4 linked regions of the Arabidopsis thaliana genome follow. The protein of the gene in region 1 interacts with the protein of each later gene in a pairwise test. Each region holds a gene or a part of one and is shown on either strand. Other genes may lie near its edges.

Region 1 (6,895 bases):
AATTAATAATATTTTATAGAAAAAAAATAAATTAAATGAAATTTGTATGTTTTTTTAATTTGTGTACAAAAACCTTAAATTACAAATATTTAGAAACAGAGGGAGTATGATATTAACTAGTCAATGTTTACTTCAGCCCAAAAAAAACTCGTTTTCTTGAGTCGCAACAAAATCAATCACATAAATTAATTGGAAAATCTGTTTAACAATTTTAGTTTGAAAAAACAGAATGAACAAAAAGACAAAAGAAAAAGAAAAAAAAAAGGTCGGTGCCGTATTGAATATCACCAAAGTCCACTCCACACCCAAGAAACCGCAACAGCCAAAACGACCAATGATAACGCAACTGAGATTCTACTTGACGCGTCAGAGACGCTAACTGCTTCCGGTTGCAGAGGCGGAGACACACTCTTCTCAAAGTCTTCACTAATTCAAAACACAACAACAACAACAAAAATATATAAAACAGTTAACAAAACTTCCAAAATATGAATTTTGAATAATCTAAGATTCATTAAAATTACCAAAAAACACTAAAATTAACATTTTTCGAATATTACTTTCCTTATTTAGTAAATTCAGTAGCAAAAATATTACCTTGAAGGAGAAGGACAGAAAGTGATGACGTAATCAGCACCGGAGCAAGTAAAAGTGCTTGTGCCGTCGTCATAAGCGTAACTATAAGCCGTCGGACAAGTTTTCTTAAAGAAAACAGAGTACTCACTCGGCTGACACGTGTCCGGCGTTCCAAACGCGCCGTTACAACAAAACTCCGGCGTTCCAAACGCCTCACAAGCGCTCTTGCACGCCACAGCACCCGTTCCAGCCGCTTCAACCGTTACTTTCAGCTGCTCCGGACATAAGCCGTTGAGATCCGCCGCGCAACCCGTTGCGTTACACTTACCGACTCCGATAGCTCCGCCGTAAGGAACGATCGTCATTGGGATGTTGTAACCATCGACGAGGCTAACGTCGTAGAAATCTAGATTTTCGGCGCCGTTGAGTGTGAATTCGGCTAGTGTAGCTGGAGGGATTGCTCCTGCGCCAGAGCATTCGATTTGGGATGAGCCGCAGTCGCCGGTGACGCAAGTGAATATTCCGGTGATTTCGTTTTGGTTGCAGAGCGTGCGTCCCCATATGCGGCCGGACCAAGCGGCGGGTATGGAGATGAGTCGTGACTCAAAGGAGTTGAGGGAGAAACCAGTGGTGGGTAATGGAGCGGTGCCGGCGCCGGAGAGAAGTCCCGGCCAGACGGTGTAGTTACACTGGTTAACGATGGTGAACGTGGTGGAGGAACCACCATTGATGAAAAACATAATCGCTAAGAGAAAGCAAGAGACTTTAGCCAAATCCATTGTTACCGTTTGATGTTGTATGATTCAGGAGAAGTTAGGGATCGTGTTTATATAAGAGAATCGGGGATTTGTGTTATGGAAAGTTTCATAATATCAATTTTCCCTATATGAGTTTTGCCATTACAGAATCCGATACATGTTCACTCATCATTTCCTTTATTTCAATATTCTCATTAATACTTGTGAAATGGAAATTACGAATCAAGCTAGTATACTTGTTATCCTTTTCGAAAATTATACATTTTTTTTTTATAACTATTTGTTGAGGATCTCTTCCTAAATTCAAAACTAGAAATTTAGATAAAGGTTAGAGGAGGAAAAAGCTCTCTTTTGTTTGTTAAGGAAAAAGTTATTTAGTTTAAAGACTTTGATAGGAAAGAGACATGTATGGTGTTGTGTAGTAAGTTAATTGTACTGGAATTGGTGGGATTTTGTATTAACGGAAATAAAGGAGGTGTTGGACATTAGAAGCTTGTCTTTGTATATGTTAAGAAAGATCAAGTCACTTCCAATAACAGAACACGTGGGATCCAAATGTTTATATCCGAAAGATTCAGCTAATCACAAGTGTAATTAGGTTAAAAAAAACTAACGGGATTAACTTCATCATCTTCTTAAAACATCACGGTAAGTAGAGAAAAAGAAACCACGAACTGACGAACAGGCATAGGCACTACAAGATCACGCACACCATGTCTCTCCTCTGTTCAGGAGATTCTCCTAAAACAAGATCTAAGTAATCTAAAATATCAAAAGATTATTCTTAAGCTAATATCTCTGTTTCATCAAGAACAAGAAAAACAGCAATGCAGAGTATAAGTAAACCAGTTACAGGAAAATCTTTAAGCTCTCCAACAAAGAGGAACCAAGAAAGACTTGTGACTCATCTCTTTGTATTTACAAGTTAGTAAAAAAAAGTCTCAAATCTTGGTATATAACAGAAGTGACCATAACAGATTGAATTTTCAAGTCATACAATCACACTCATTGCAAGGAAAGACAAGAAACTGTAAATAAGCAAGCACACATATCATTCAAGATCTCAAACTTATGGCATCAACAAAAGCAGTGAACAGGTTGCATAAACCAGTCAAAAGAGTAATATAGAGAGATCAAAAACTCCCAAAACAACCATTCTTAAACATCCTAAACGACTTTAGCAATCACATTATAGTCACCAAAAAGGAGCATTAGGTAGATTTTAATAGAAAACAAAAGAGGTTTATGAACATTACTCTTCTTCTTTGCATCTTTTTGTTAAGCAACCGAAGTACATTCCCTCGCAAAGTGACCTTCCTTGCCGCAGATGAAGCACTTGTTACTGCCACCGCCACCTCCGCTGCTTCCACTTCCTCTCCGATCACAGTCACGAGCCAAATGGCCAGTTCCTCCACATTCGTAACAAGCACGACCACCACCACCACCACCAGAAGGTATCTTGCTGGTGCAAACTTTCGCAATGTGGCCAACTCCGCCACAGGTATAACAAGTGCTTCCACCACCTCCAACGTTTCCACCGCCGTTTTGCCTACAATCCCTAGCGAAATGTCCCACACCACCACACATGTAGCATCCATCACCGCCAGATCCACGACCACCACCTCCTCCGTATCTGTTTCCACCAGAACCACCACGACAATCCTTTGCCAAATGACCAACCTCACCGCAACTGTAACACGGACGACCACCTCCTCCTCCTCCGCCGCTGTTTCCACCACCGCTTTGCCTACAATCCCTAGCGAAGTGTCCCACATCACCACACATGTAACATTCACCTTCGCCGCCAGATCTACGACCACCACCACCTCCAAAGCTTTTCCCACCACTTCCACCGTCACAATCCTTAGCCATATGACCAACCTCACCGCAATTAAAACAATTACCTCCGGATCCACGGGAGCTGTTTTCCTTCTTATTAAGTGAACCGCCGCCGGGAGCAGTAACTTCAATGGCCTTAGTCTTTCCGTCGCTTCCAAGCGCGATTTCGTATTCAACCGATTCACCAAGAGTCAAGCTACGGAATCCATCGGAGACAATTGAGGATTGATGAACAAAAAGCTCTTCGCCGCCATCATCGGGAGTAATGAAACCGTAGCCTTTTCCATCGCTAAACCAACTAACTTTTCCGATAGATCTCGCCGCCGATTGATCTTCCATCGCCATTAGATCAGAGAAAAAGGTTAACAAAAACTCGAAGCACTTTGTTCGTACAAAGAGAGGAAATGGGTAAAATGAAAACCCTAAATTGCTACTTGCTAGATCTATTAACCCCAAATTGACCTTAAATTCGCCACGTCAGCTCCTTCTCTATCGGCGGCAGTTACCACGTGTGCATTTTGGATCAGGCCCATGGTTCACATAATGAAATGGGCCTATTTATGTAAGAGTTTCAAAAGAACTAAGCAAAATTGATAAGGTTTGATTTCACACTAACTTTAAAAAAAATGCTTGAGATGTTTTATCATCTCTTAACCATCCCCAAACTCTGGGAATTGGATGAAAATGCAGTCTATAATTATCACTTTTTGCAAAAAGAAAGGGATATTCATAGTAAATCTAAAGTAAATATGACATGATTTAGATTATTATGTTATACTTCTACTAGAAGAGAAAGTGTTTCACACTTTTGGTTGTTTTATCTAAACAATATATTATATTTTGATATTATATCTATTTTTATGCAACTTATTTTGCATCCAAATTTTCAATATCCCAGCTCACTTTTTTAATTCAATGAACCAATACATGGATGATATTATCCGAAGTTCAATTGTGAAGAAAAAAATGATTCGATCATATTTTCTTCTAGAAGCAAGAAAAAAAGAACATCCCAATTACTTAAACTAATTATTGGATATCTATCGTCTATTATATATATATATATATTATATATTTTGATAATGTATGGTGTCGAACATCAACAATCTTCTGCTTCCCATTGTTTATGGACAGCATAGCTTTTGTCATGACAATGCTATACTTAAGAAAATGACAAGAGTTCCTTTTTTTATTTATTTTTCTTTTAATGACAATAGTGAATTTATAATTACTTTTTTTTTGTTCACATTTAAAATAGTTATATATATGTGAAAAGAATATGAGTTTTTTTTTGTAAATATTATGAAAGATTCGTGAGATGCAAATGTTCCAGAACATGGCATGTTGAAACAAGAGTGACACATGGATTATGATGACGAGAAGAAAAGAACCTTGTCTGTCGTATTTGCTTAGCTATTTTGGTGGCCCTGGTGAAGGCAATTTAAATTGACTATAATTATTATCATCATAAACGTCATGTTAGTATAACTCTGAAATTCTGAGCAAGAAATTTGACCCAATGTTAACTCTTTGAAATACCGTTATTTATATAACTTTTACCCAAAAAAATTAGAATCATAAAATTAACCCATGCATGCATACCTAGTTGATTGCACAACGTTCAAACTAAAAATGTTTATAACGCCCATAGAAAAAACTCTCAGTAACCCTCCACATACACATATCACATACATCGGAATTCACGATATGCGATTGTAACGTCTCTAAAAATTACTCTTTTCACAGTCGCGTGACAGGAAAAAATTCACTGCCACCAAGGCAAACAACGTTATCGAACTTTCGATAGACTAAGACCATGAATGGTAACATAGACCACACCCAAAACCGCACCGCAACAGTATTAAAATCTTTACATATATATGTATTTATGTATTTTTGTTACTATTTGACATAGATCTTCTTTTCTTTTATTGTCGATGTCGGCTGATTGTGCGACTAGAAAAAAAACACTCCCAGCTTTTTAAATTAGGTGACTACAACATAATACAACTAAAATTTTCTAAGAATGCTATATGATTTCAGTATGTAAATCTTACCTGTAACAAAAAAAATCTGTTTCTCCAAGGCTACATACTATTGATTGCTAAGTTGGAACACTTTAAGTTATACATAAATTTTTATTTTCTTTATTAGATGGTAAATACTAAATACAGACTACTTACTACTTATGGATACAAAGGCTAAAAACGCGACAGATCCTACGTGGCACGATAAACCGTGTTGATCCTACGTGGCACAACCACCCAGAATCTCTGGGTTTGCTCTAATTACAACCAATTCAATGGTTTTGGACCAACTCGACACATCGAGTCAACTCGCTACCAGCACTGATCGGTTTCCCAATTCCGTCCACCGTAACTGCCGTATCCAGCCGTTAACGGCCGGCTCCGAAGAAGAGTCCTCCGATCATAAACGGCGCGTTTCTCGGGATCCGAAAGCGTGCAATACGCTGCGTGGATCTTCATGAAATCGTCCGCCGACGAGTTATCCCGACTATTTCTCGCTACATCGGGATGACAGATCCTGGCTAGTCGCCGGTAAGCTGATTTGATCTCTTGACTCGTCGAGCCGACGGGAATTTCAAGGATCTCGTAGAGAGACGCGGTTGCTGAAAATCGCTGCGGGATTTGGCGTAATCTCGGTAGATCTTCGGCGCAGGTGTAGGACGCGGTGGTTGTAGAAAGCGACGGCGAGATCCGGGAAATGCGTGACGGTGGTGAAGTAGAAGAGAACGACGGAGAAGAAGAAGAAGAAGAAGAGAGAAATGGAGTAGCGAAGAAGGTTGGGGAAGAAGAAAGCATCGTGAAACGACGGCGTTTTTGTTTGTCTTTTGGTTTAAGTTCCGATTTGGGTTTTGTGATGCAGTGTGATTTGAGATGAGAAATTAGAAAGGTTTATTTATAGGGGAAGAAGTGATTAGTACGTATAACGTTTAGTTAGCTTTTAAATAATTGAAGATTAGGCAGATTAATGTATCTTGTCCGGTTAAGCAAAATCGAACCGGGTTGGGTCAGTGTGTTTTCGGATCTTGAGAAAGCTGAGTCAGACTAAAAGGCTTATCCACAGTTGTAAATAATGGGAGAAGTGAGATAAGATTCAACGAACGAACGAACTTGAGAGTGGCAATGAAGTTATTATTGTCATCTACCAAATTTTTCTATTTTTGGTATCATATAACAAAACTTGATAACATTATTATTCACATTGTTATTATTTGTTTTCTTGTTTTGGTACTCATGAAACTTAAAACATTCGATTAAATGTTATCCCTAAGCGAATATCCGGAAGAAATCGGTAAATATAGTTGTATTACTGATCTACTTTGTTTCAATCGGATAGTTACTTATTAACTAAAGTTGTAACTATTATTAACTAATATGAAATATCACCCATACTGTTGGAAAGATCAATAAAAATATGAAAAGTTAAAAGGACAACGATGTTTCATATTTTGATACCAAAAAGATACATTCATTTTCCATTCGGTATCTTTTTAACCATTCAGTGTAATTTAAAGATACATAAAATGTAAACAGACACTATAGAATCATGATACAATATGTATGAAATATATGGACTAAATAAATATATGGACTTCTTTTTTTCTTTTGTGTCTTCTGAGATTTTTATTGTTAAAGGTTGTTTATTGTTACAACAAGAGGCCTTGCATAATTAGCTTTTAGAAGTTTAGTGTTACAAAT
Region 2 (7,745 bases), on another chromosome or scaffold:
TCATCGATACATTGGACGTGGAAACAGTGATCACATTCTGGCATGCACCGTACAGTCTCTTTGCTAGCATATTCTGATAAACAAATGGGACAGATGATACCATTAGTACCTGGAAGCCTTCTACTTTCTCCCAACTCCACTTTCTTGTATGATTCTATTGTAGATTGGTCAAGACCTGTAGTGACCACAACCCCTCGTGGTTGTTGCGTTGTGTTTCTGGCTGTAATAGCTGCATTTTGTCTTCTCTGATTGACAAACCTCTCGGAATTGTAAATGCGGATAGCAGCAATACAAGTTGCGGTGATTCCTCCGATTATGCAAAGGGTTATTATCAGTGGTCGTAATCTACTTTTTGTTTCATCTGCCGGATAACATATCAAGAATGTGTTTTAAACAGTCGAAGTAGAGAAATTAATTGATTACGATTTTTGTTTGATATTTGCTTATTTCAACAAATGTCAGTTTAATAAAAACAAAAAATATGCGTTAAGTATTCTAGCGATCGCTAGCTAGCGTGGGGAATTAGAAATTGAGAATACTTCGGTTGGTTAAATTATAACTAATCTTCGACCATAAAAAACTAATTAGTCAATTCATAATTTCCATATTTAATTCCTACTAGGATTTCTCTTTGTAAAAAACTTCTTGATTAATCTAAACCTAAAAGAACCTGGATTTGAAGTTTTCTACCAAAACTTCTTCAGCCTTACCAATAATGGAGTTTTCTTCGATTATAACTTATAAGTGAAGAAGAAGAAGAAGAAGAAGAAGTTAAAACAATAAAGATCATACCGGGTGGATCAGCCAAGTATTTGACTTCGAGGGAGGCCTTGTTCTTGAAACCACATCTCAAGGACTCCTTTTCACAACCTCTGCAATTCGGCGAGCTCCATTCCAACAAGACGTTTCCAAGCCAGGGCACTGTAGAGAACCCTTTTTCTTCAGTTATCACATCTTTATATATCACATCAACAGGAACGTATAGTCCTTTCACAATCTGACAAGAAGGCGGCAACAATTTTGAAAAAGTCAAATTAGACGTGGCGAAGAAGGAGGAGGTAGAATTGCTTAGGCAAGGGATGGACATCAGAGACCAAACCGGTATCACGACCTCATTCGGACAGGTCAAGAACGTGTAGTAGAAACTGAAGCCATAAGAGAAAGGAGATCCTGAAGTATTGAAGGTTAAAAGCCTTTTAACCATACAGTTTTCAGGGTCGCTGATAGAAATCTGCTGCTTTTGGTAGTTGATTTCATCGACAAGAAATGTTCCGGACATAGGAAGCTCTAGGACTGTCTTATCGAGGTTGTTGCAGTGGAGATTGAATCCTGGATTGCCGCAGAAAGGAAAACGAATGGGGATTCCAAGTGGTTCACATTTATTAAGATATGAATCCGAGTAGGATGAAGGACATTTTTGAGGGTTCAAGGCGTTTCGGAGAGGTAAGATAAAGATGGAGAGGAGAAATACAGAGAAGAGAATTCTTGATTGAGGGAATTGTTAAACGAAAAATTTAATAGAGAATTGGTCTATTCTTATAGTCACTAAGAGGAAAGTCAGAGAATTAGTTGTCTTTTAAGAAGAATTGTCACCTGCATCGGATCCCACGTCTGCAGAGCTATATGACATTCAAGCATAAACATTATACAACATCCACTACATGTATTATACACTAGAATAAACTGATTGTGGAATTTCGCCTGTGAGTAACTCTTTAAGTAGGGAGATTTATACCTTCTGAATTGGCCAACACAGCCAGAACCACCAAAGAAACAGCAACGAAGAACCACAGCCGCAGATCCGCTCGCCATCTGCGAACTGGACTTGGAAAACTTTGATTAACAGCCATAAGTCAGGGTTTTTAAAACAAAGAGTATCAAGGCGTATTAGCTTGTGAGACTTCAAAATGCTTGGATAGACATGTATATACTGTCAACAGAATATGGTTTTCTAGAAGGTTACAATCTTTTTTAAACTAGATAAGATTCCAAGGTACATAAAAGGGCCAGATAAGGCAATAAAACAGAAGGGCGGCCAGATGAAACGAGACCGGTCTGTACATTTATGAGGCAGTGGAAGTAAAAAAAGTAACTAAGTTTGTAGCTAAAAGGAAGCCTATGTGAAGAGACTTAAGGTTAAGGGTAAGGAGCTTCACTAGCTTTCACAAATCTGCCTCTGACACGCAACCTAGTGTCAGCTCTTGCCTTCCTCGATTCATACCTTATGGTCTTATCATATCTGTTGGCACCCGAGATCCAAGACAAAGGGAGAAACGAAATATGGTATCAGATTCTTTAAGGGAGATGGGCAATAAAAAATTATTAAAGGGGAAAGAAAAAAGCAGCATTTACCTCCGTGTCTTCCTCTTTTCCTTGTAACGCTGCATTGCATCTCCTCTGTTCTGAGCCAGCCGCTCCAGATCAGCCTTAGTTGCAACTAGTCTTGTGGTCTTACAACTAGTTCCAGCAATATGCTCTGTGAAATGCAAGTCACTGGAGGAGTTCGAACCTTTCTCAGAGCCAAAGGTAATTGGACGATTGTTGCTCTCAGATTTTGTTGGTTGTACCTGGCCTGAAGTTGATCGCTTGTAGTCATCCTGCAAAAGAATCCTAATCAGCATCACAGTTAAGTTGCATAGCAGTCTAGCAAATATATATCATAAGCCAAAATGTTAGAATTGGTGGCTTGGTGATGAGGTAAAACAAAGAAAAGCAAACCAGCTTGTAACTTTTTTCTGACTAGGTTTCATGTTCTGAATTCTATCATTCACTAAAAGAAGCAACTGTCTACAACAATTTTTGAGGATGAACGGGAGATGACAACGTATTGTGTTTTAAACACTACTCTACTTAAATGACTAAGGTTAATGAGAACTATTACCTTTTTAATCTCTTTGACACCTTTCACATTAGTGGAACAAGTTTCATTCATATGGTCAACAAAATTGTTGATTGTGAATGAAGAAGCAGCACCTTTCCCTACATATGCAGCTTCCACTCGACTCGTATCCTCAGGTCCCCGTGACTGTCCCAAGTTAAAATCCCATATCTGTATACAAGTTCACAACACAGGTTAAGAAACCTTTCATTTTTTTATCTTCTTGAGAAACCATAAAACCACACAGAGTGACTATATTTGACCTTACACAAAAACATTTCACCACTTAATCTCACTTGCTCATTAACAGAAAAAACTAAACTGTTCTTAGCCAAAAAAATCAAAAGAGAGATAAGCAAAACCTGAGAACTCTGGCCACCACTAGGATTAGTAGTAGTAGCATTCCACTGCTGGTTAACTCCTCCTCCTCCGCCACCATTGATCTCCTCAACATCTCTTGACCATTTCAATCTCTCTGACATCTCCGGAACCATAAGCCCCTCTCCTGCTTCTCCATCTCCATCTCCATCACAAGCACCCTCACGGTCACAATCACGGTCACGATCACCATCATCGCCATCACCACCGACAACACCACTCTTAAGCAACTCCTCAAGCTGCTTACACAATACCTGCTTATACCTCCCACAACTAGATCCACAAGATCCACGCTTCTTAAACGTCGTATCGCTGGGAACAATCAATTCATTAGATCCCAAAACCCAAGAATCCAACTGCATCCCGAAATTATCCATCATCATCGCCATCATCGGAACTTGATTCTCTTCATCTTTCCTCCCTTGCTCCAAATCAAGTCCCCATAAAGCAGCAAGCTCCAACGCCGATGGACAACCGGAAAAACCTTCCACGGCGGATCGAACATGAGCATCGGAAACTGAACAACTTCCGTGAACATCCCAATCACACTCCTGACACAAAATCAGATTATCGGTGAAACACCGAACAGAGACTGGCTCGTTACCGCAATTATCGCAGATCTGAGATCGCACGTGCTTCCTCGACAACAGATTCGCCGTGTGAACTTGCTGATCACAAGGCAAACACAGCTTCGCCGTATCGGCTCTACAAAACAAAACCGCCGTACGCTCGCCGCAGAAATCGCACGGTACTCTCTCCGAACTACTCATAACTGACTCTCTCTCAAAATCCCTAAAATTCGAAATCAAAATCAGAATTTATTTTCAGAGACTAAGGACGGTGAGAAGAATGATGACAAATCCATTTCTCACGTTTTTCATTTTGAACTCTTTTTTTTTTTGGGGGGCTTTGTCAAAATTATCTGCAAATCTTTTGGAATGAAGAAGACAACGAAGCTAATTATTGTAAACAGTTTGGGGTTAGGGATTTGTTTTTCTGTGTTGCGATGTATGGAACTTGTGTATGATGGATTGTTCAGATTGAGATATGTTGAGATCTGACGGTGTAAAAGCGTGCTGAGAGAGTCGCCATTGTTCAGACGGCGAAGCTTACGTTGACTGTGACAGAGAATCTAAGAGAAAATATCTAATCTGCTTTTTCACCTAAATATCTATTTTAACGTATAAAGGGAAAGTTAGTTCAAAGCACATGATTTTTATGGGATTAATTCTTTCCGTATATAGCAATAACTTTTTGATCAGTGTAATAACGGCTGGAATCGTCTTTTTCTGGAACTAGTATTTACGAACATTGCAGCGTAATGTATAGCATATATTTATGTGCATAATAAACTGCTACACACGAGTTCTTGACAAAAGATGTGATAAAATTAAAATCGTAAAGATATTTTAGGATTCATGTTAGATATTTTCTTTTTGTCCATAGACTTCAATAAGTTGTTTTTTTTTGTTTTGAAAAAAAGTATAACTTATTTGTAAAGTGCTATCATTCTGAGGTATAAATATCTTGAAAAAGTTCCTGGGGAGTGGTAACAATCGGAACGATTCTTGACTAACGCATTAAATTTCACGTGTTAGAGAGTTTGTGATTCAGACTATACATAATACAGTATATGAGCGGGTTTTTTCTTTTTTGAGTCAAAGCGGAATATATGCGTTATATACTTCTATATTTGAATTCTTGAGTTTTGATCGAATGTTTAATTTGTGGTCAACTTGTGGAAATCTCTTGGCAAAGAAATCTTATTTATCCAAAAAATAGTTGGTATGAAAACTCTTGGCAAAGAAATCTTGTTTATTCCAAAAATAGTTGGTATGAAGAGTTTGGATTTCTGCTTGTAAGAAAACTGCGACCTGACATCAAATATTTTTCTTTTTAAAGATAAATAGCTTGAATTTTCATATATCTCTATAGAAGATGAATCGTCGATTTTTTTTTTTTTAAGTAAAAGATGATATAAAAGCCCATTAGACTCAAAATTGAAGAACTATCTCAAGAAGGAACTCAAAAATGGGCTTCAGCCCATAAGGGAAGCTTGTAGTCCGGTGATTGGATTATATATCTTCCGGATCCGGTATCGTTTCGCTCCCTTTAGGATTTTTCCGGAAGGAACAAAAATCTGATTCAGAACTTGGTTTCGCTGGTCGTTTTGGTTCTAATCTGAATCGCTGGTTTATTCCGGTTGTGAATTTTCGTATATTTATAGGACCGGCGAATCAGAAGCAAATTGTTGTTAGGAATAAACCCTAAATTCTGCCATGGATAAGGAGAGATATTCCAGGAGCCACCGTGACGATCGTGATCGAGATTCGAGTCCCGACCATTCTCCACAACGTGAAGGAGGACGCCGCCGTGACCGCGATGTTGATTCGAAGCGTCGTGATTCAGATCACTACCGTTCATCGAGGCGCGGCGATAGGGAAGATGAGAGAGATAGGACCAAGGATAGAAGAGGGAGATCTGTAGAGCGAGGCGAGAGAGAAGGGAGTAGAGATAGGGAAAAGCATCACCATGAGAGGTCTCACGAAGGTAGTAAAGAGAAGGAATCGAGGAGCAAGAGGAAAGATAGAGAGGAAGAGAATGGGGCTAGGGATGGGAAGAAGAAATCTAGGTTTGCTGATGGGAATGGTGAGAGGAGGAGCAGGTTTGAGGATGTGGCTATTGAAGTTGAGAACAAAGATGCTCAAGTCTCTGAGGGTTCTGGGGCTACGAATCCAACCAGTGGCGTTACGATGGTGAGTTCTTTATACCTTTTCGTTAATCTTCTTTGTTTGCTACTTGCGATTTGTTCATGATTACCTCTAGTCTTCTTCGCTAGCTAATGCTTGCATTTTCTTTTTTTGTGCAGGGAGCCTCTACATATAGTTCTATTCCATCGGAAGCTTCTGCTGCCCCTAGTCAAACACTGCTCACTAAGGTATCTTCGATATCTACAACGGATGAAAATAAGGCTAGTGTTGTCAGATCTCATGAGGTTCCTGGAAAATCTAGTACAGATGGAAGACCATTGTCCACAGCTGGGAAAAGTAGTGCAAACTTGCCTCTTGATTCATCAGCGTTAGCAGCGAAAGCTAGGAAAGCACTACAATTGCAAAAGGGATTGGCTGATAGATTGAAGAACCTTCCTTTGGTAAGATGTACAGATATTCTATACTTTTTTGCGTTCATTCTTCTCTGAAAACTTTGTATTTGATAAATTGCTTTTCTTATTCTCTGTGCAGCTGAAGAAGGCTACTAAGCCAACTTCAGAAGGTAGCCCACATACCAGAGTGCCACCATCGACTACCACTCCTGCTGTCTCTACAGGCACATCTTTTGCTTCAACATTACCACATACTGGCCTTGCTGGCTTTGGGAGTATTGCCAACATTGAAGCTGTTAAGCGAGCCCAGGAGCTGGCAGCTAATATGGGATTTCATCAGGATCGAGAGTTCGCTCCCGTTATTAACCTATTTCCAGGACAGGCACCCTCAGATATGACTGTTGCACAGAGACCGGAAAAGCCCCCTGTTCTGCGCGTGGATGCACTAGGAAGGGAGATAGATGAACACGGAAATGTGATTAGTGTGACTAAACCAAGCAATCTTAGTACATTGAAGGTCAGCAATGTTAATTTGAATATCTTAAGTTTTCATGTTTTTCTTTATATGATCGAGCTTCTAAAGTACTTGGATTTTACAGGTTAACATAAACAAAAAGAAGAAAGATGCTTTTCAGATTCTTAAACCTCAACTGGAAGCAGATCTAAAAGAAAACCCCTATTTTGACACAAGGATGGGTATTGATGAAAAAAAGATTCTGAGACCTAAACGTATGAGTTTCCAGTTTGTTGAGGAAGGTAAATGGACAAGAGATGCTGAAAATTTGAAGTTTAAGGTATGCATTGTCTTTTGTATGGATTCTTTTTGACGATATTCTCTCTTGGTGGTCTTTTAGATGTCTCATTGTGTGTATTTCTGTCTTTTCTTTATAGAGTCATTTTGGTGAAGCAAAAGCGAAGGAGCTGAAGGTGAAGCAAGCACAACTGGCTAAGGCAAACGATGATATAAATCCAAATTTGATAGAGGTATCCGAACGTGTCCCGAGAAAAGAGAAGCCCAAGGAGCCAATTCCAGATGTTGAGTGGTGGTACGTAATTTCTCTCACCTTACCCTTTCTGTTAATGCTAAGTTGTTTTGTTTCTGATTTGACATTCACTTGGCATAACCTTGGTGGAAACAAGTCATCCTGCACTTAAAAACTGAACTTGTAACGATTGGAGTATTTGATGACTGTGATGAATCACCATAACAATAACTTTAGTTTGCTCTCAGCTACGGATGACATTCATATAATTTGTTTGGTGTTCTTGTTGCTCATGTTGGTTTAGGGTTGTTTGTTTGTTTTTTGAATTACTATCTAGTTTCGTTTAGGTGGGATATATACAATTAATATTTCAATTCTTTGATTTCTTTGAGTGTTCGCATAT
Region 3 (8,322 bases), 7.6 Mb from region 1:
TCACTTGCCATTGAGGCTCTTCAGAAGATGGTTCAGGGAAAGTTCAGGCACTTGCCTGTTGTAGAGAATGGTGAAGTCATTGCTTTGTTGGATATCACAAAGTGTCTCTATGATGCTATCTCACGGATGGAAAAAGCTGCAGAGCAAGGAAGTGCTTTAGCTACTGCAGTGGAAGAACGGCATTGGGGAAGTGGAAACTTCGCTTTCATTGATACATTGAGAGAGAGGATGTTCAAGCCTGCATTGTCAACTATAGTCACTGAGAATACCAAAGTTGCACTTGTATCAGCATCAGATCCTGTCTTTGTAGCTTCCAAAAAGATGCGTGATTTGCGGGTTAACTCTGTGATCATCGCGGTTGGGAACAAGATTCATGGGATTTTAACTTCAAAGGACATTCTCATGAGAGTTGTAGCACAGAATCTATCTCCTGAGCTGACTCTTGTTGAAAAGGTAATGACGCCAAATCCTGAATGTGCATCAATAGAGACAACAATCCTCGATGCATTGCATATAATGCATGATGGGAAGTTCTTGCATCTGCCGGTTTTCGATAAAGACGGATTCGCCGTAGCTTGTTTAGACGTGCTGCAGATAACTCACGCAGCTATATCAACGGTTGAGAACAACAGCTCAGGAGCTGTTAACGATATGGCGAATACAATGATGCAAAAGTTCTGGGACTCAGCTCTTGCGTTAGAACCACCTGAGGATTACGAAACACACAGCGATATGTCAGCAATGCTGATAAATTCAGAAGGGAAGCAGTCGTGTCCATCACAAGGACTTGTGAGCTCGTTTGCTTTCAAATTCGAAGATCGTAAAGGGAGAGTACAGCGGTTTAACTCAACTGGTGAGAGTTTTGAAGAGCTGATGAGTGTTGTGATGCAAAGATGTGAAGCGGATTCAGGCCTTCAGATAATGTACCAAGATGATGAAGGTGATAAAGTTTTGATTAGTAGGGACAGTGATCTTGTTGCTGCTGTAACTTTTGCTAGGTCTTTGGGGCAAAAGGTTTTGCGACTACATCTTGATTTTACCGAGACAATTGCTCCTCTTGAGACGATTGCAGATTTGTCCGAGGGAAATGGCGGTTGTGTTTGGTGGCAGACTGGCGTCTTGGCTGGTGCTATTGTCCTAACGAGCATAGGTTTATTTGTTTACTTAAAACGTTCCAAGAAATGATATGTTGAATGGGAACTTAATTGTATTACACTGTTACTTTGTCTTTTTATTCGATTCACATTGCAAAGCAATAATAAAACTTGTTACCAAAACATACTTGTTCCTGTTTGAGAATTGTGATTGTTCTCTCAGTAGTCAATAGACAAGAAGGCAGGTTTGCCCGAGTGGTTAAGGGGGAAGACTTAAGTTCTTCTGCACATAAGTGCGCGTGGGTTCGAACCCCACAGCCTGCATATTTTTCCTAAAATCTTTTTTCCTAAAAACTTCATGCATTGAAAATTTCAAAAAATAAAGAGAAAGATGCAGGCTGTGGGGTTCGAACCCACGCGCACTTATGTGCAGAAGAACTTAAGTCTTCCCCCTTAACCACTCGGGCAAACCTGCTTATTGAATATCTGTTAATAAACCAAGTACTTGTTATTATTCTACAACCCAAATTCAAGAAATTTTTGTCCTTCACCATCACTTGATTAAGCTTATTTCAACAGAAAGTGAACGATAAAAGTGATAAACCGAGAAGAAAATGATTTATCTACACAATTTTGTATGAATGTTTTTCTAGTCATCTTCAGATAGTGTTCACACCTTTTTTACGTGTGAACTCTTGTTGAATAATAGTAGTCATGAACACAAGCAGGTCTATTTTAAAACCTTTACTAGAGTTGCAATTTTAATATAATAATGAAGAACTTATTTTATTTTTGTTAAAACTCCATCGTATGTCACCAGAGATCATAACAATCACATGAGAAGATTAAAGAGTAAAGCCGAAATTAGATTGAAATAAGGGGCTACCGTCCTCGACAAAGGCAGAGCATTCTCATGTTTCCCTTACAAAAATGAGTAACTTTTCCCAAAAAGGGTTCAACAAAAGACGTAAGAAACCAAACAAAGAAGAAACAAAAACAGAACGTTTTATTTAATTAAAGCAAATGATCAAACTCAGGTCATCTTCTCCTCGTCACAAAGAAGACCACTTTGCTTCTAAAAGCTCCATTTAGTAGGGTTCCACAGGTTTGCGGAAGTTGACTCCAGCGTAAATTGCCTCTGATCCCAACTCCTCCTCAATACGCAAAAGCTGTTGAGAAACAAGACACATATTAGACAATGTACTCTGGTTGTCAAACATAAAGTCTTTACTAGTGGTCTGAGATGTTAAACCTGGTTGTACTTGGCAAGACGCTCGGATCTGCAAGGAGCACCGGTTTTGATTTGTCCCTGTATAGACAGAAAGATCCAAATGAGAGTCCGACAAAAGATATAGCATGAGATTGCTAGTTAAATGCTTGCAATGGTTTCAACTTACAGTGGACAAGCCAACGGCTAAGTCAGCAATGAATGTGTCCTCGGTTTCACCACTTCTGTGGCTGGTCATCACTCCCCAACCTGCTTTCTTCGACATCTTAACTGCCTCGATACTCTCGGTTACAGATCCGATTTGGTTAACCTTCAAAAGAAGAGCATTGCAAGACTTCTCTGCGATTGCCTTAGCAACTCTCTGGAATAAGAAAAGAGTATAAGAGAGATGTGAGCATTTTAAGAGAGGGCAGACAACAAAAAAAAACTGGTAAGAACACTGGCAAATAAAAACAAACCTTGGGGTTAGTGACCAACAAATCATCACCGACAATCTGAACCTCGGTTCCACACTCAGTGGTCATCTTAGCATAGTGCTCCCAGTCATCTTGGTCAAATGGGTCCTCAATGGACACGATTGGGTACTCAGCGACAAAGGACTTGTACAGGTCCTTTAGAGCATCACCAGAAATCTTCTGAGAGCCATTGTTGTTCTGCAGAGAAACAAAGAGCGCAACAGCTACAAGTTAAGAACAGGTTTCTCACACTCTATCCTGACAAGCTGTTACTAAGGAAAAAGAAATTTCACCTCTTCTTTGAAGTTCAAGTCGTAGGTCTTGTCTTCTGAGTAGAACTCTGAAGCGGCAACATCCATTCCAATGACAACCTGGAAAAAATTGAATGGGATCCATTAGTTTCATGAATTATGTTTCGGGTAAAAGGACAGCCAAATTACATCAGATAAGAGACAGACCTTTCCAGTGTATCCAGCCTTCTCGATAGCAGTCTTGAGCAATTCAAGACCCTCCTTGTTCTCCTGAATGTTTGGTGCAAACCCACCTTCATCACCAACATTTGTGGCATCCTGGCCGTACTTCTTCTTAATCACAGACTGGAAAAACATATGAGAACAAGATGGTTAAGCCATAAACATGTAATACATGTTAGTTCACAGGAACCATCTGCGAAAAAGTAATACATGTATATGGAATATTCATTGAAGAGCATCTCAAAGACCAAAAAATATTGGAGATTTACCTTCAAGTGGTGGTAAACTTCCACACCCATCTTCATGGCTTCCTTGAAAGAAGCAGCTCCAACAGGGAGGATCATAAACTCCTGCATAGCAAGCTTGTTTCCGGCATGGGATCCACCATTGATGACGTTGAAGGCAGGAACTGGTAGCACAATCTTGGGGTTACCAGCAAGGTTGGCAATGTGCTGCACCCAAATACCACACAAAGGGAAAAGCTTAGAACATTTATCACCGAAAAAACCAAGTAGCCAAAGCAGTAACAATCTTATCTTCCATGGACAGAGGGAACCAACTTAATAGTGCCAGATCGTTCTACCTTGTATAGAGGAATGCCGCTGACAACAGCCCCAGCTTTGCAGACAGCAAGAGACACAGCAAGAATCGCATTGGCTCCAAGCTAAACACAGATAGAAGGCGCAAGATGGTCAGACTTGCCTTCTATTCTTAAGTGAATACACAAAAAATGAATTTTCCCTTTTAAGTACCTTTTGCTTGCACCACCCCCACTCGTTTTGGGTTCCGTCAAGTTCATGGACCATGAAGTTGTCAATAGCAGTCTGCTGAGTTGGGTCCTGCAAGAAATAATAAAAGCAACAAAAATAAAATGAGTGAGCCTAGCGCATAGAATTAGACACAAATTTGATGTTCTGAGAGTAGCTTAAAGTGAGTCACTCACCTTTCCAATAAGTGCTGGCCCGATGATGTTGTTCACATTGCCAACAGCCTAGTGATATAAACAAATAACGAATCAGTCAACATGATCAATTGAAATAACTCTACTAACACTAAAAAAACACACAGAACAGATCGCAGTCTCTCACCTTAGATACACCCTTTCCAAGGTAGTCAGATCCTCCATCCCTCAGCTCAAGAGCCTCATAGATACCAGTGGAAGCTCCACTTGGAACAGCTGCTGTAACCTTAATACCATTTGACGTGTGGATATCAACCTAAACCAACATCATCAGAGAAATCATTAGCTTTCTTTTCAAATTCGTCATTAGCAAACAATCGAAATCGTAAAAACCAGATGGAAATAAATAGATCCGTCGCAAAAATCATATAAACAAAATCAACTCCATCATCGACAACTCACGATCCAAATCGCCGAGATCAAATCACCGATCATCGTTCACAAAAACCAAATCTCATTCACGTACGACTACTAGATCAATTCAGGTTTACAAAAAAACGATTGAATAGTGGTTTTAGCATCGGATAGTCATCAAACAAACAGATCCGTCACGAATACTGTACAAAGCCGGAAAGTGACTGGGAAATACAAAAGTGATCGGAGAAACTAACCTCAACGGTGGGATTACCACGACTGTCGAAGATCTGTCTAGCCTTAACAACGGTGATAGTAGCCATAGCGAGTAGATCTAGAGAAAGAGATAAAGGCGATGTGTTCGAGGGTTTTAGTGAGAATCGCTTCAACAGTAGTAGCTGAGGAAATGGGTTGGTGGTCTGGTTCGATATATAAAGACGTCACGGATTTAGCCAAAACCGTTGGATTGTTTTAATAACAGCCGTTGGATGAGAACAGTCAGCTCTGATGCAAGAAGCCAAAACGATGCGCTGCACGCCTTTTGCAGAATAGAAGAGTTTTTTCCATATTGTTTTGCTCCTTGTCCAAGTAATACCGACTATTTTTATTAAAGACTTTAGAACAAGTAAGAATAATATATGGCATCTAGATTTTATTCCATTTTCCGACTATACGTTTCACTGTTTCCATTTTTATTTTGTCAATAACATCTTTTATACCATGTTTGAAATTTGGATGGTTGTACAGAACTCTCTAGAAACAATTCACTAGTTGAAAATTTTCTTTTTTGTTAAAGGGGTTTCGCTAAACTATAACTTAATGGATATGTTTGTGGGTCAAAAACTTTGGGCCTTACTTATGTGACAAATTCTCCACTAGGGTTTCAATGTCCATCAACCATTTTTATACGATATTAATGGACCATATTTTTCAGTAATCATTGTTTGATTATGCTTATTCTATATGTATCAACATTTAAAATGCAAATCACTAGTTCTATAATTCTTATCAAAATGTGGTGTTTGCGTCGGATTTTTGGATGCTCTTTGGACTTTGGAGTTTCAAACTCAAGATTATGAGGTGATCTAATATTTATTTTAATCTAAGTTACTAATTTTTGAAAATAATTTAAATGTTGCTAAACTATTATGATTTTTATGTTCTTATAAACTTTTTTTTTTGTTAAAAGGTTCATATAAACTTAGATATTTCTGTTAATAATTTTAATTTCGATTAATTCAAATATAAGTTTTTCATGTTTTATATGAAAAAAATAGTAAACAAATGCGTTTTACTTATGTAAAAATTGTCAGAAGAAAATAGAGCACAATCTTCCATGTTTCATCAGGCTTCCTCCGAGCCTTTAGTGCTATTTCTTTTGATAGAATTCGTGAGAGATTCCCCAAATCATAACAAGAAAACAAAATGGTAAACGGGAAATATAACTCGACAAATCAGCGTCGATTAATTGATGTATCGACTTTTGTCCATGTATAACAACTGCTGACAGGTGGAATTTTCTGATTGGTCGCTGTAAGTCGATTCACACTACCAAGTTGGATACAGGAAAAAAAAAAAAAAAAAAAAAAAAGAGAGAAATTAAGGATAAGTACAAAAAAGATTTGTGAGTATCCAAAGAGCCGCTTGAAGAAAAACGCCAAATAAATGGTTTTGATCTCGTGAAGCCAAATCGCCATTAGTCACCACCTTAAATGACTCACCTAGTATATATATATATGCACCATATGAGTTTGATCAATCTCATTCAATACAATGGCTGAAGAAAAGATCAAGAAGAGCTTGCTTGCTGCGGACGACAGCGACGATGAGTACTCAAGAGGTGATACAGTTTCAGATCAGACAGAACTGAGTTCGATTCTTGATAAACTTAGTCTAGAACCTAAGACGGAGAAAAAGAAACTCTTGGTCTTGAGTCTAAGTGGTCTTCTTCTTCACAGAGTCCACAAAAAAGAGTTGCGTAAGAAACCCAAGAACCGCTCTCCTGATGCTTCTTGTGGGCCAAATCTTGGTAACGTTTCATTATTCTTTTATTAACTTTGCTACCTTTTTTGTATTTATAGTTTATTTGTGTTTGTTTTGTTGTTTAGTGTATAAGAGACCGTTTGCTGAAGAGTTTATGAAGTTTTGTCTTGAGAGATTTGAAGTTGGTATTTGGTCCTCTGCTTGCGAGTTAGTCTCTTCACTAAACATTCTTATAGTTACAGGTTAATATTGTTGATTTCTTAAGCTTAAATAGTACTTTTTATCTGACTCTTCATGTGTTTGATTGATAGGAAAAATGTTGACATTGTTTTAAGCATTGTGCTTGAAAATCTCCAAGACAAGCTTCTCTTTGTTTGGGTAAGACTCTCATTGTATAGAGATGTGTGTCTATTTATGTATATATAATTTCGAATACTCTTTTATTGTAGGACCAAGAGAGTGTACGGACAGTGGATATAAAACACTAGAGAACCGTTACAAGCCTTTGTTCTTTAAGGATCTCTCTAAAGTGTTCAAGTGCTTTAAAGGCTTCTCTGCTTCAAACACCATCTTCATTGATGATGAACCATATAAAGCTCTTCGTAATCCTGTAAAACACTCGAATCTCTATTATAGTGTTGTTTATCGATAACTTTGTAGTTCTTAATCCTAATTCTAATCTATCTTGATTTGCATTCAGGACAATACTGGTCTGTTCCCAATGAGCTATGATGCTTCTAACATAAAGGATAATTTACTTGGTATGCAAAATTTAAACTTCTGCTGTTCACTTCTTATCTTTAGACATGCGTTTTGGTTTATTTGTGATTGGTCTTTTATTTTGTTAGATCCGGAAGGAGAGTTGTGTTCTTACTTGGAAGGTTTGGCAAAATCATCGGATGTTCAGGCTTACATAAAAGTGCATTCTTTTGGACGGCCCATGATCGATTCTTCTCATCCTGATTGGTCTTTCTACAGCAACGTTTCAAAGATTGTCTCTTAATCTTTTATGATTATTAGTTTGTTTAAGCTTCGTATCTCAATCATTATCTTCTTTTGCTTAGTAATGAACACATTAAAAAGTCTACCTATTTCAATTCTAATAAGAAAGATGAATCACTTGTGCTTCAGCATTTGTTAATTCTTCTGTACGTGTTCAATGTCGATCAACCATTTTTATACTGTGTCATGGTTGATTATATATTCTCTTTTGGACCCATTTTTCATTAACAATTATTTGATTATGCTTATTCTATGTGTCAAAATTTGAAAATTCAGATCACTAGTTCTAATTTTTGTATCAAAATGTGGTGTTTGTGTGGGAGTTTAGGATGTTCTTTGGAATTTCAAACTCAAGATGATGAAGCTAGGTGATCCAATATATATTTAATCTAACTGGTAATTTGTTAAAATTTGTAAAATAATTTGAATAACGCTAAACTGTATATGGGTTTCCATGTTTTTATATGAAAAAATAGCAAACAAATTCTTCTACTATTTTTTTCGTCAACAAATTCGTTTACTTATTTGACATTTTTTTCAGAAAAATATATAATACAATTTTCCATTCAGCTTCTTCTGAGCCAAGTGAGATTTCATTTAATAGGATTTCTTTTGATTTTAAAACAATAAAAACAACTGGTAAACGAGAAATAGAAGTTGATTCAGTTTAAATTTATAGGATTTTAGTCTTTCAACATTTCTATTGTTGGATTCATCAAAAACTTTAAATGAGATTCATTATTCATATGAGGAAAAAATCAACTTTCAAAGC
Region 4 (9,210 bases), on another chromosome or scaffold:
TAGCTTTGGAAAGTAATCATCATCGAGCAAAATATTTGAGCATTTCAAATCTCGATAGATCACTGGAGGCATGGTTTTGTCATGCAGATACTCCAAACCTTTTGCAGCACCGGCAGCTATTTTCATTCTGGTGTTCCAGTCAAGTGGCTGCTTACCAGGTGAAATGTCTGAAATAAAAAAAGCATCACCCGATTGAAATTTAAAGACTTCTCATAGGCATGTGTGATCTTAGAAGCGCATACCGTGCAAATGATCTTCAAGTGAACCTAGGGGCATGTACTCGTAGACTAGAAGCCTTTGATCTCCATCAGCACAATATCCTATTAAGTTAACAAGATTCGGGTGATGAAGAAGACTCAACATGAGAACCTCGACGAGGAACTCCCTGTTTCCTTGTAAACCATTATGATCAAGTTGCTTGATAGCCGCTGTCTACAAATGAAGATATAATGACAGTGAGCTTTCACTACCAAGAAGATTCAAAAGGTTAAAACCAAGCAAAAAAAAGGGAAGGAACCTGGCTAGTGCTGGCCAAGTATCCTTTGTAAACTCTACCAAATCCTCCTTCTCCTATAAGACATTCTTTTCTGAAGTTTCTAGTGGCAGTAGCTAACTCAGAGAATGTAAACGTTTGTGCCACAATGTGATCAGAGCCTTTACTTTTGGATTCACTCAAGGACGACTTGGCCCTAGATTTCTCTACAAAAAAAGAAAGAAAAGAAAGCGATAAGAAGAAATAATTAATCAACACAAGCTGAGCATAATTGTCTCAAGGTCAATAATCAACAAATTAAAGTTCTAAGAATATAGCAAGATACTTAAGGATCTAGCAAGTCCCATTTAAGAGTTTAATCCACAACTTCCACTGGAGAGCAATAACAACAATTAACAGGAAAGAGACATGCAATAACACATCACTGTCAAAATACTAACACAGGTGTTACAGAGTAGTCAAAAGCTAGTGAAATGGAAGGAAAAAAGCAATCTTTAAACAGAAAGTCAAAAACCCTAATCAGCATTAGCAAACGATGATGGCTCACAGGAATCAGAAAGTTTTAGCAAAGGATAAAAATTTCCATAATTTAGTAAGAGAAGGTTAAACCCAGAATTAAAATTGGACAAAGACTATAAAGAGAAATTACCTGAAGTAGACACAGAACAATCAGAAGACTTCCTGTCGAGTTTGTGGTCACCGTTCCTCCTTGTCTTATTCCTCCCACTCGATTTCCCAGAACACGGGATCCAACCCATTAAGCTTCTCACGATCTTCTTCTTCTTCAAATGATTCTTCGTTTCGATTGTGTTCGATGATCTCAAAAGCGAGAGAGAGAGAGAGAAGCTTAGAGAACTTTGAAATGTAAAAAAAGCACGCCAAGCCAATCGCTGGATTTTTCGATTTTTCTCTTTTGATATAAAATATATTTTTAAAACAATTTAATTTTTGTGATACAAATTAATGTGAATGGGTTTGACTTTGACAAATAAAAATTAATTGTCAAAGAAAAAAAGACAAACAAAAATTATATTTTATCAAAGTAGTATCAACTAACTACCCCCATGGAATTTAAATTTCTTTTCAACACACAAAAAGAGATTATTTGATTGAATAAATTTCTTGTGTTGTAAGTTGTAACAATATTGAAATTGAACTTTAATAAGCAACAATCGTGGTCACCATTATAGTTTCCAATCATTTGGGTATAAGAGATTGATTATTCCTATTTTAAAATGGTGTTTATCAAAGACAGATTTTTTCTAAGAATATATATATTTACGATATAAGCTAAATGATATTGAAAGAGATAATGTTGATACAATACGACACCGTACTATGCACGGCTCCAAAAGCAAGCTTATACCAAAAAATATACAGAGAAGGGGTTATTGTTTTACAAGTTTACAACATCTACAAAGATTTCACTACATCCTGAAACCAAACCCTTCGTCCTAATTTCACAAACCAGACCAGACAACGACAATAATAACAAACAATCAAATGTCGTAGTGTCTTTGTTTCGTGAATAGTAGTAGTATTATCAAAGAATCAGACTTTGAAGGGAAAATGTTAAAACATGTGATAGATATATATATATAAGATAGATATGAGCACATTACTCATGTTTTTGGGCTGAGAAATAGTGGGTTTTGTTGATTTTCCGTTAGCTATCCTCAATGTTTTTTATGTCGTTATCATCAGTTGCAGCGGCTGTTTTACGCACAAATTGGCCTCGCACTCGAGGGCGTTGTTCTGCTAGTTTTTTCCGGCTTTGGTATCGTACCTGAGAAAGCCAAAAAAAAAACATTTTTGCGGTTTGCATTTGCTTTCGCAATTTACAAGAATACTTTTTTTTTCCTTTGTTATAGATTTGACCGAGAATTTACCTTCTTTCGGAAGCACCTCTCTTTTCTCTTCTGACGGAACTTTGTCAAAGCAGCTTCCCTTTGAGAGATCTTATTTTCATCCGCCAAGTTTCCGCTACCACTTCCACTTCCGCTTCCACTACCATCGCCATTTCCATTTTTGCCAGCACCATTATCACTTCCCATATTCATTCCTCCAGCATTCATACCGTTACTGCTTCCATATGGCCCATTACTTCCATGACCACTACCTGATACACTTCCATTCACACTGTAATTCACTGTGTTGTTGTTACCTTCAATCGTTTCGTTGTACACATTTGAGGATCCACATTGTGGCGGTAGCTTCTTCCTCTCAGCGACATGGACAAGGTTATAGGAGGCATGATTATTATGATGATCACAGGGTAAAGGCTGAAACGATGAATGCTTCACTGATGAAGATCCTGCTGAGCTTACTTTTGGAGCTCCTGGTTTTGTGAAAGCGTTGTTCTCAGTCGTGGAACTCATATCAAAGTTATTGCTACCGACATGTGAGCGATGATTATGGGGGAGACTCTCATTCATGTTCGAGTGACAATCATATGCTGCTTCAGTCTTTTTTATAAGATCCTGACTATTATTATCCTGAAGCGAAGTGCTTCCTAAGTTCCCACCAGAAATCTTATTGGCATTTGAGGCTGGATTATACCTGCACAAGTCCAACAGTCGATCTCATAGTTCTTCAATAAGGCATTCAAAAGGTTGTGTACGGAAGAAAAAACAGAGGTTTGATTCTAAGAAAGTACCTTGAGAAAGCTGAGCCCTCTGAACGCCTCAGCACATTCCGATCATCCCTAACTAGTGTCCCATCATCTTTAGTTCCTCTATGCCTCTTTGAACTATGTTCCACGTGCATTAGCTCTTCAGAAATTTTAACAGAAGCTTCATTTGTATCTAAAGTTTTCAAGTGAGTGTTAGGCGCCTCAGGTTCTCTGTTATCTTGAAGGTGGCTAGACATAGCTTTGAAACTCGAGCCTCCATCTTCATGCATTTGTTTACTTGAAGGACTTTCGCTACTGAGGTCCAATGGTCCTTTTCCAACTTTCATTTTCCATTTACTAGAGCTCTTTTCAAACGAATTATCCTGTCTCATAATGCCAGTAGTTTTAGATAGGGGTTCATCTTTTGGCTCCAGGGCCAGATCACAGTTTCTACGAATGCTAATCTCCAAGTCTCTACCCATTGTGACATCTTCTGCAAAATAGATGAAAAACATTCAATATCATGTTTTTGAGTTTCAGTATAAAGAAGAGTATGGAAGAAACTAAGAGATCACAGTTTCCTTTCTTTACCAAATTTATCATCATGTTCTTGAGTCTCCTTCTCAGCAGGTGGTGCAACCAACTGATTACTTGGAAACTCAGGGTTAGAATGTACCACTTGGGCGCAAGTGCTATCAACTCGGTCCCATAGAGATACCGCTCGTGGACTGTCATCAACATCCACAGCTTTTTTCGTCCAAGAGCTCTGAACAAAAAAAGGTATGTCAAAATCAACCTAGGTTTTGGAGATAAACCATGTGCAAAATAAAACTTCAAAATGAACTAGAAATTTTCACCCAGTTTATCACTGAATAGATCTAAGTTAAACATCATTGAGTTCTACAATTGGTTAGTTAAGCGCTTCCACCATTTATAAGCATCTGAGTGCACATGCGAAGTTCGATCATCCGACCCCTATCATTTGTGGTTAAGAAATTTTTAAAAGGATAGCTTCTCGGGTGTATATTTAGATTATCGGTATTGCACATTCGTCTTACCTGAGCGCCACTCCCATCACTACTTCCATCACTAGCATTCAGGCCAATGCTCCCATTTTCATTCTCATCACTGCTTCCTGAATCTTGATCAGATTTTTTAATACTTTTCGATTTCACAGACTTTTGAGTTTGATGCGTTCCGCTCTCACTTCCACTACCACTAGACTGAACAAGAAACAAGGAAAACCATGAGAAACCAAAAAGTAAGATACCAATCATGTGGAAAAAAAAAAAGAAGATACCAATCCACAATTAGACCATGAATTTCTAGTTTACTACTTATCACCAGTTGTACCAACAGGTTTTCAGATTAATCATATATGAGCAAGGACATACACTTTGGCATCTTCTCCAAACATGCTGCCAAAGGATCTTAAGCTCATTTTTTCTTATTGGCTTAACAAGAAAGTCAACAGCTCCTTTCGATAAGCACTTAAAGACCAGCCCCATTGAGTCATGAGATGACATCACTGCAACACAAATCTCACAGGGGAATGTAGTTAAAAGCATCTACTTTCCAACATACGCTAGAGAAGACTCAACAAATCGTGTAACTTCAAAAGAAAGAGCTCAATGTAAAACGACCAAGGAAAAAGAACTCACTGATGACAGGGATGTTCCGACGAGATTTGTGGTTCAAAATCTTGCACAAGAGACCGATACCAGATAAGTAAGGCATGATCACCTCTGTTAGCACAATATCAATATGATTGTTTAGATCTTCTAACACCTTCCAAGCTTGTATCCCATTTGACGCCTCAACAACTGCCATGACAGAGTTAATAATAATCAATCAACAAACAGAACCGAAACGGGTACATATATGCGCTATAGATTAAAGTTGGGCCATAGGCTTCAAAACTGACCTTCATAGCTACAATTGCGAAGAAGTGCAGTAACGATATAACGAGTGCAGTCGTCATTTTCGACAAGCAGAACTCTAATGGTTCTCACATGAAGAAACCTTTCCCAACAGACAGTTGCCGCTGTTTGTTGCGACAATGGAATTTGCAGTCCACCTGAACTCCCATTTCTCACATCCATAGTAATTCCATTAGTTTTCTCTTCTTCACTATGCTTCTCTGTCCGACTCTCAACCCTATCGAATTTCGTCTCTCCGGTCTTTCGATCAGTGATTGGGTAACGTGAACCCTCCCCCTCCTCATTAGCATTCATCACACCAACTCTGCTTCGCTGAATTCAAATGATCAAAATATCAAAACACAGCCATAAACCCTAATTTCGATTATTGCAATAGCTAGAGGAGTTAGAATCGTACAATATCTCAGATTAACAGAAAAAAGAGTTGAAGAACGACGAATTCTCAAAAAACCAACTAATCAAGTAACTTTTTGAAGAATCATCAAAAAATCGAATCTAGACAAATTACATCAAATAAAAATCCAACCATACAAAAGCATCTAAATTCCAAGAGAGTACTGATCTTACAATAATCAAATACTAGAACGAAGAATCGAGCTCCAGAAGTTGCATCAATCACCAGAAAAATGGATCTAGCACAATCAGCTAACGGTTGGGAAATAGAAACAAGGAATTCAAATCGATAAACAGAATTAAGAATCGAAGCTTCTTAGAACTTTAGAAGGAAGATAAACACAGTGAACAATTTTTGAGATTATGAGGTTTTTCTGTCTCCCAGAGAGTGGAAATCGGAGACGACCATAAGCCACCGATTTTTATTTTTCCGGAGATAGATAGATATTAGAAAGATTTGTCTCGGGCCAACAAAAAAAAAAAGGAAATTAAAAAATCGTAATATCTGACATGGACAAAACTAGAGGTCCCGAACGTTCGAGAAGTTCCACGTCAGAGCGGATATTTCCACATCATATATTGGCGAGGATTAGTGACGTGGATGGTATATCAAAAACAGTCGTTCAGGAGGCTAGTGGCAGATTATTAAGATCTTTTTGAACTGACACGTGTAATGGTGGGTAAGGAAAACGTCAAGTGGTAAACTCATCTGGACCGTTGAATAGATTTTGGCGGAAGAGACTAGCGTTTAAAGATTTTATAGATGTAGTTAATATTGGGCTTACCATATGGGCCATTCAAAAAGATTTTAACCCAATAAAAAATATTCAAAAAACTATCGTCGACAGCAGGGTTCGAACCTGCGCGGGCGAAGCCCAATAGATTTCAAGTCTATCTCCTTAACCACTCGGACATATCGACATCTCGTTAAAAGCACAATTAATTAACTTAATAAATGCGTTTCTAAGTCTACCCCTTTAGTTTACCCTAGAAATAACATTCACGAGATACGTTGACCTAAAGGGTAAATTTTCCCGCCATTGTTAGTACCAGAACTCTCTGGGCCGCCGCGTCTCCGTCGTCGTGGCTATCTACAGATGGCGGATAAGAAGAAGCGAAAGCGATCAAAAGATGACGAGGCGGAGGAACTTCCTTTCAAAAGCATTCTGGAATCAGACGACGTTATCACGGAGCTTCTCAAATCGTATATTTCCTCTTCTATCAAAGCCGCCGCCGGAGCCGGCGGTGCCTCCTCCTCTTCATCGAAACCTCTAACCCTAGCTGACCTCTCTCTATCATCTTCCTGTCGTGAAGTCGCAGATCTCTCACTCTCCTCCGTGCAGACAGAGATAGAGACAGTCATCGTCCAGATCGCCCGTTCTATTCTCGCCGGTGATGGCTTCTCCTTCAGTGTTCCTTCACGCGCCGCCTCGAATCAGCTGTATGTTCCTGAGCTCGACCGTATAGTGCTAAAAGACAAATCTACCCTCCGTCCATTTGCCTCCGTTTCTTCTGTCAGGAAAACCACCATCACCACTCGTATCCTCGCCCTTATCCACCAACTCTGCCTCAGGAACATTCACGTTACTAAGCGTGATCTCTTCTACACCGACGTTAAGCTTTTCCAGGTAGGTTCTTCTTGCTTTCAATTTTACTTGAGATGATACTTTCTTCCCATTAAATAGAGAATGATAGTCACTGTTTTAGATCCAGCTCTTGTAAACCTGAATCGAAAGTTCTAGCATTGATTCTTTGTAGTTTCGATTTTGGAAGGTTTTTGAACCAATTCGCAACCTTACTGAATTTTCAGGACCAGACACAGAGTGATGCTGTGTTGGATGATGTCTCATGTATGCTCGGTTGCACAAGGTCAAGTCTCAATGTCATTGCAGCAGAGAAAGGTGTGGTGGTGGGAAGGCTTATATTCAGTGACAATGGAGACATGATAGATTGCACAAAGATGGGAATGGGTGGGAAAGCCATTCCACCAAACATTGACCGGGTTGGAGATATGCAGAGTGATGCTATGTTCATACTCTTAGTTGAAAAAGATGCAGCTTATATGAGGTTAGCTGAAGACAGATTCTATAACCGGTTCCCTTGTATCATCGTGACTGCAAAAGGCCAGCCTGATGTAGCTACAAGGCTCTTCTTGAGGAAAATGAAAATGGAGCTTAAGCTTCCGGTACTTGCCTTGGTGGATAGTGATCCTTACGGATTGAAGATCTTGTCGGTGTATGGATGTGGGTCGAAGAACATGTCATATGATAGTGCAAACTTGACTACGCCTGATATTAAGTGGCTTGGAATTAGGCCGAGTGATTTGGACAAGTATAAGATACCTGAACAGTGTAGGTTGCCGATGACTGAGCAGGATATTAAGACCGGGAAGGATATGCTAGAGGAGGATTTCGTGAAGAAAAATCCCGGGTGGGTCGAGGAACTTAACCTGATGGTGAAAACGAAGCAAAAGGCTGAGATTCAGGCGTTGAGCTCTTTTGGTTTCCAGTATTTATCGGAAGTTTACTTGCCCCTGAAACTGCAGCAGCAGGATTGGCTCTGATAATCAGGTTTCTTCCTGATCAATTAGATAGACCAACAAGTGTACTCTACAAATTTCGAATTTTTGATAATGCAATTGCCTGTTTCTTAGCATGTGAATTATTATTGCAAAGATCGAAATTTGGTTTTAAATTTATGGTTGAATCTACACAGAACTGGAAAGATAGCTGTCAGATGATTATTTAGAAGACAACTCTTTTGTTTATTTAGAAGATTGTATACAATATGATGGGCATTGAGATGATATGCAATCTTTCCCCATTCTTTTCTGCATATGGTTTGAATTAGCATAAAATACAATGATGACTGATTAGTAATGTAACAGTCGGAGGCAGCTACTTTCTGCGCTGCAACCACTGATACAGAGACGCCTTTGTAACCATCAACCTCTCCAGAATCGCAGGTCTCCTCGTTGAGGATATACTAACAAATGACTTAGTGTTCTCTTGGTCTGCATCATCTACACAGTGTGCATCCTGTATGATATTTCTTTGTCCAGCAGGAAGAACCACAAGAGACAATTCATCTCGTAGAAGCTTCACTAGCGCTTCTTGCACAGTAATCTCTTGCTTTCCTGAAACGGTATTTGCTTCATCGGTTCCTATGATAATCAACACATCATCTATTACAACGTCACCTGCAAAGGAGATTCAGTTAGTTACAAGTGTTTTTTAGTCTCTACTGGCATAAAATTCAACAACATTTGATTTTTTTGTCCTAACTTAAGCTGCATGTATGCTGTTCCCGTTTGAAATGTTTACCGAGTCAAAAAGTTACTACATGAGAGAGAGAATGTATTGGTGTCTTGAATCTTACCTCGCATATAGTCTTCCTTGATCATTCGCAAAACTGCTAGAACAACAAGTCGAGCCTCAATCTGTAAATGGATGCAAAAGTTTGACATGGTCATATCGCTGAAAGAGTTAAATTGATAGGACTACAAGCACATATGAATATTTCATTGTCTCCAGTAACTTACCTTGGTAAGTCCTTGAAGGTCAATTGCAAGGTTTCCAGCTGTTCTCTCTTGCATGTGTGTAGCTACTTTTTCAATGAGTAGGCTTACAGGTCTCCCTGCGTTATCTCCTTCTTGGTCGCTTATTTTATCTTGGCTCTGACCGTTTTCCTGTATGACTCCTTCGCACCACTCCTCAATAAGTTCCTTGAGAAAGTGATCGTTAGGTTTGTACCTGCAGTGTTGTGGCTTTGTT

What was found.
Region 2: the proteins of CSP3 (region 1) and BBX13 interact in a two-hybrid assay, tested with the Arabidopsis thaliana proteins (one study listed by BioGRID).
Region 3: the proteins of CSP3 (region 1) and LOS2 interact in a two-hybrid assay, tested with the Arabidopsis thaliana proteins (one study listed by BioGRID).
Region 4: the proteins of CSP3 (region 1) and PRR7 interact in a two-hybrid assay, tested with the Arabidopsis thaliana proteins (one study listed by BioGRID).

The regions. Positions count from the first base shown.
Region 1 is NC_003071.7:7,761,664-7,768,558, forward strand, and holds CSP3 (cold shock domain protein 3), read right to left. Parts: upstream 3,614-6,895; 5' UTR 3,519-3,613; coding exon 2,613-3,518; 3' UTR 1,865-2,612; downstream 1-1,864. Other genes in the region: AT2G17860 (Pathogenesis-related thaumatin superfamily protein), read right to left, coding at 415-421, 598-1,355; AT2G17880 (Chaperone DnaJ-domain superfamily protein), read right to left, coding at 5,513-5,995.
Region 2 is NC_003070.9:9,773,632-9,781,376, forward strand, and holds BBX13 (B-box type zinc finger protein with CCT domain-containing protein), read right to left. Parts: upstream 4,413-7,745; 5' UTR 4,027-4,412; coding exon 3,241-4,026; intron 3,050-3,240; coding exon 2,882-3,049; intron 2,598-2,881; coding exon 2,353-2,597; intron 2,240-2,352; coding exon 2,137-2,239; 3' UTR 1,891-2,136; downstream 1-1,890. Other genes in the region: AT1G28040 (RING/U-box superfamily protein), read right to left, coding at 1-361, 793-1,279; AT1G28060 (Pre-mRNA-splicing factor 3), read left to right, coding at 5,536-6,012, 6,126-6,407, 6,499-6,876, 6,959-7,153, 7,251-7,405.
Region 3 is NC_003071.7:15,318,899-15,327,220, forward strand, and holds LOS2 (Enolase), read right to left. Parts: upstream 5,232-8,322; 5' UTR 4,889-5,231; coding exon 4,823-4,888; exon of another isoform or gene 4,647-4,822; coding exon of another isoform or gene 4,614-4,646; intron 4,468-4,613; coding exon 4,339-4,467; intron 4,242-4,338; coding exon 4,194-4,241; intron 4,090-4,193; coding exon 4,003-4,089; intron 3,915-4,002; coding exon 3,834-3,914; intron 3,703-3,833; coding exon 3,520-3,702; intron 3,374-3,519; coding exon 3,236-3,373; intron 3,149-3,235; coding exon 3,071-3,148; intron 2,976-3,070; coding exon 2,781-2,975; intron 2,684-2,780; coding exon 2,492-2,683; intron 2,404-2,491; coding exon 2,347-2,403; intron 2,264-2,346; coding exon 2,183-2,263; 3' UTR 1,858-2,182; downstream 1-1,857. Other genes in the region: AT2G36500 (CBS / octicosapeptide/Phox/Bemp1 (PB1) domains-containing protein), read left to right, coding at 1-1,185; AT2G36540 (Haloacid dehalogenase-like hydrolase (HAD) superfamily protein), read left to right, coding at 6,339-6,594, 6,674-6,790, 6,998-7,158, 7,249-7,309, 7,397-7,551. UniProt on the Arabidopsis thaliana protein: Multifunctional enzyme that acts as an enolase involved in the metabolism and as a positive regulator of cold-responsive gene transcription. Binds to the cis-element the gene promoter of STZ/ZAT10, a zinc finger transcriptional repressor.
Region 4 is NC_003076.8:636,124-645,333, forward strand, and holds PRR7 (pseudo-response regulator 7), read right to left. Parts: upstream 5,904-9,210; 5' UTR 5,612-5,903; intron 5,357-5,611; 5' UTR 5,339-5,356; coding exon 5,029-5,338; intron 4,928-5,028; coding exon 4,766-4,927; exon of another isoform or gene 4,673-4,765; coding exon of another isoform or gene 4,633-4,672; coding exon 4,499-4,632; intron 4,328-4,498; coding exon 4,163-4,327; intron 3,871-4,162; coding exon 3,696-3,870; intron 3,598-3,695; coding exon 3,150-3,597; intron 3,053-3,149; coding exon 2,383-3,052; intron 2,280-2,382; coding exon 2,160-2,279; 3' UTR 1,558-2,159; downstream 1-1,557. Other genes in the region: CDL1 (Protein kinase superfamily protein), read right to left, coding at 1-167, 243-432, 518-699, 1,143-1,251; RHL2 (Spo11/DNA topoisomerase VI, subunit A protein), read left to right, coding at 6,535-7,065, 7,248-8,000; AT5G02830 (Tetratricopeptide repeat (TPR)-like superfamily protein), read right to left, coding at 8,335-8,636, 8,816-8,876, 8,979-9,189. UniProt on the Arabidopsis thaliana protein: Transcriptional repressor of CCA1 and LHY, and positive regulator of LWD1 and LWD2 expression. Represses the expression of other clock proteins and master regulators of plant growth, development and response to abiotic stress.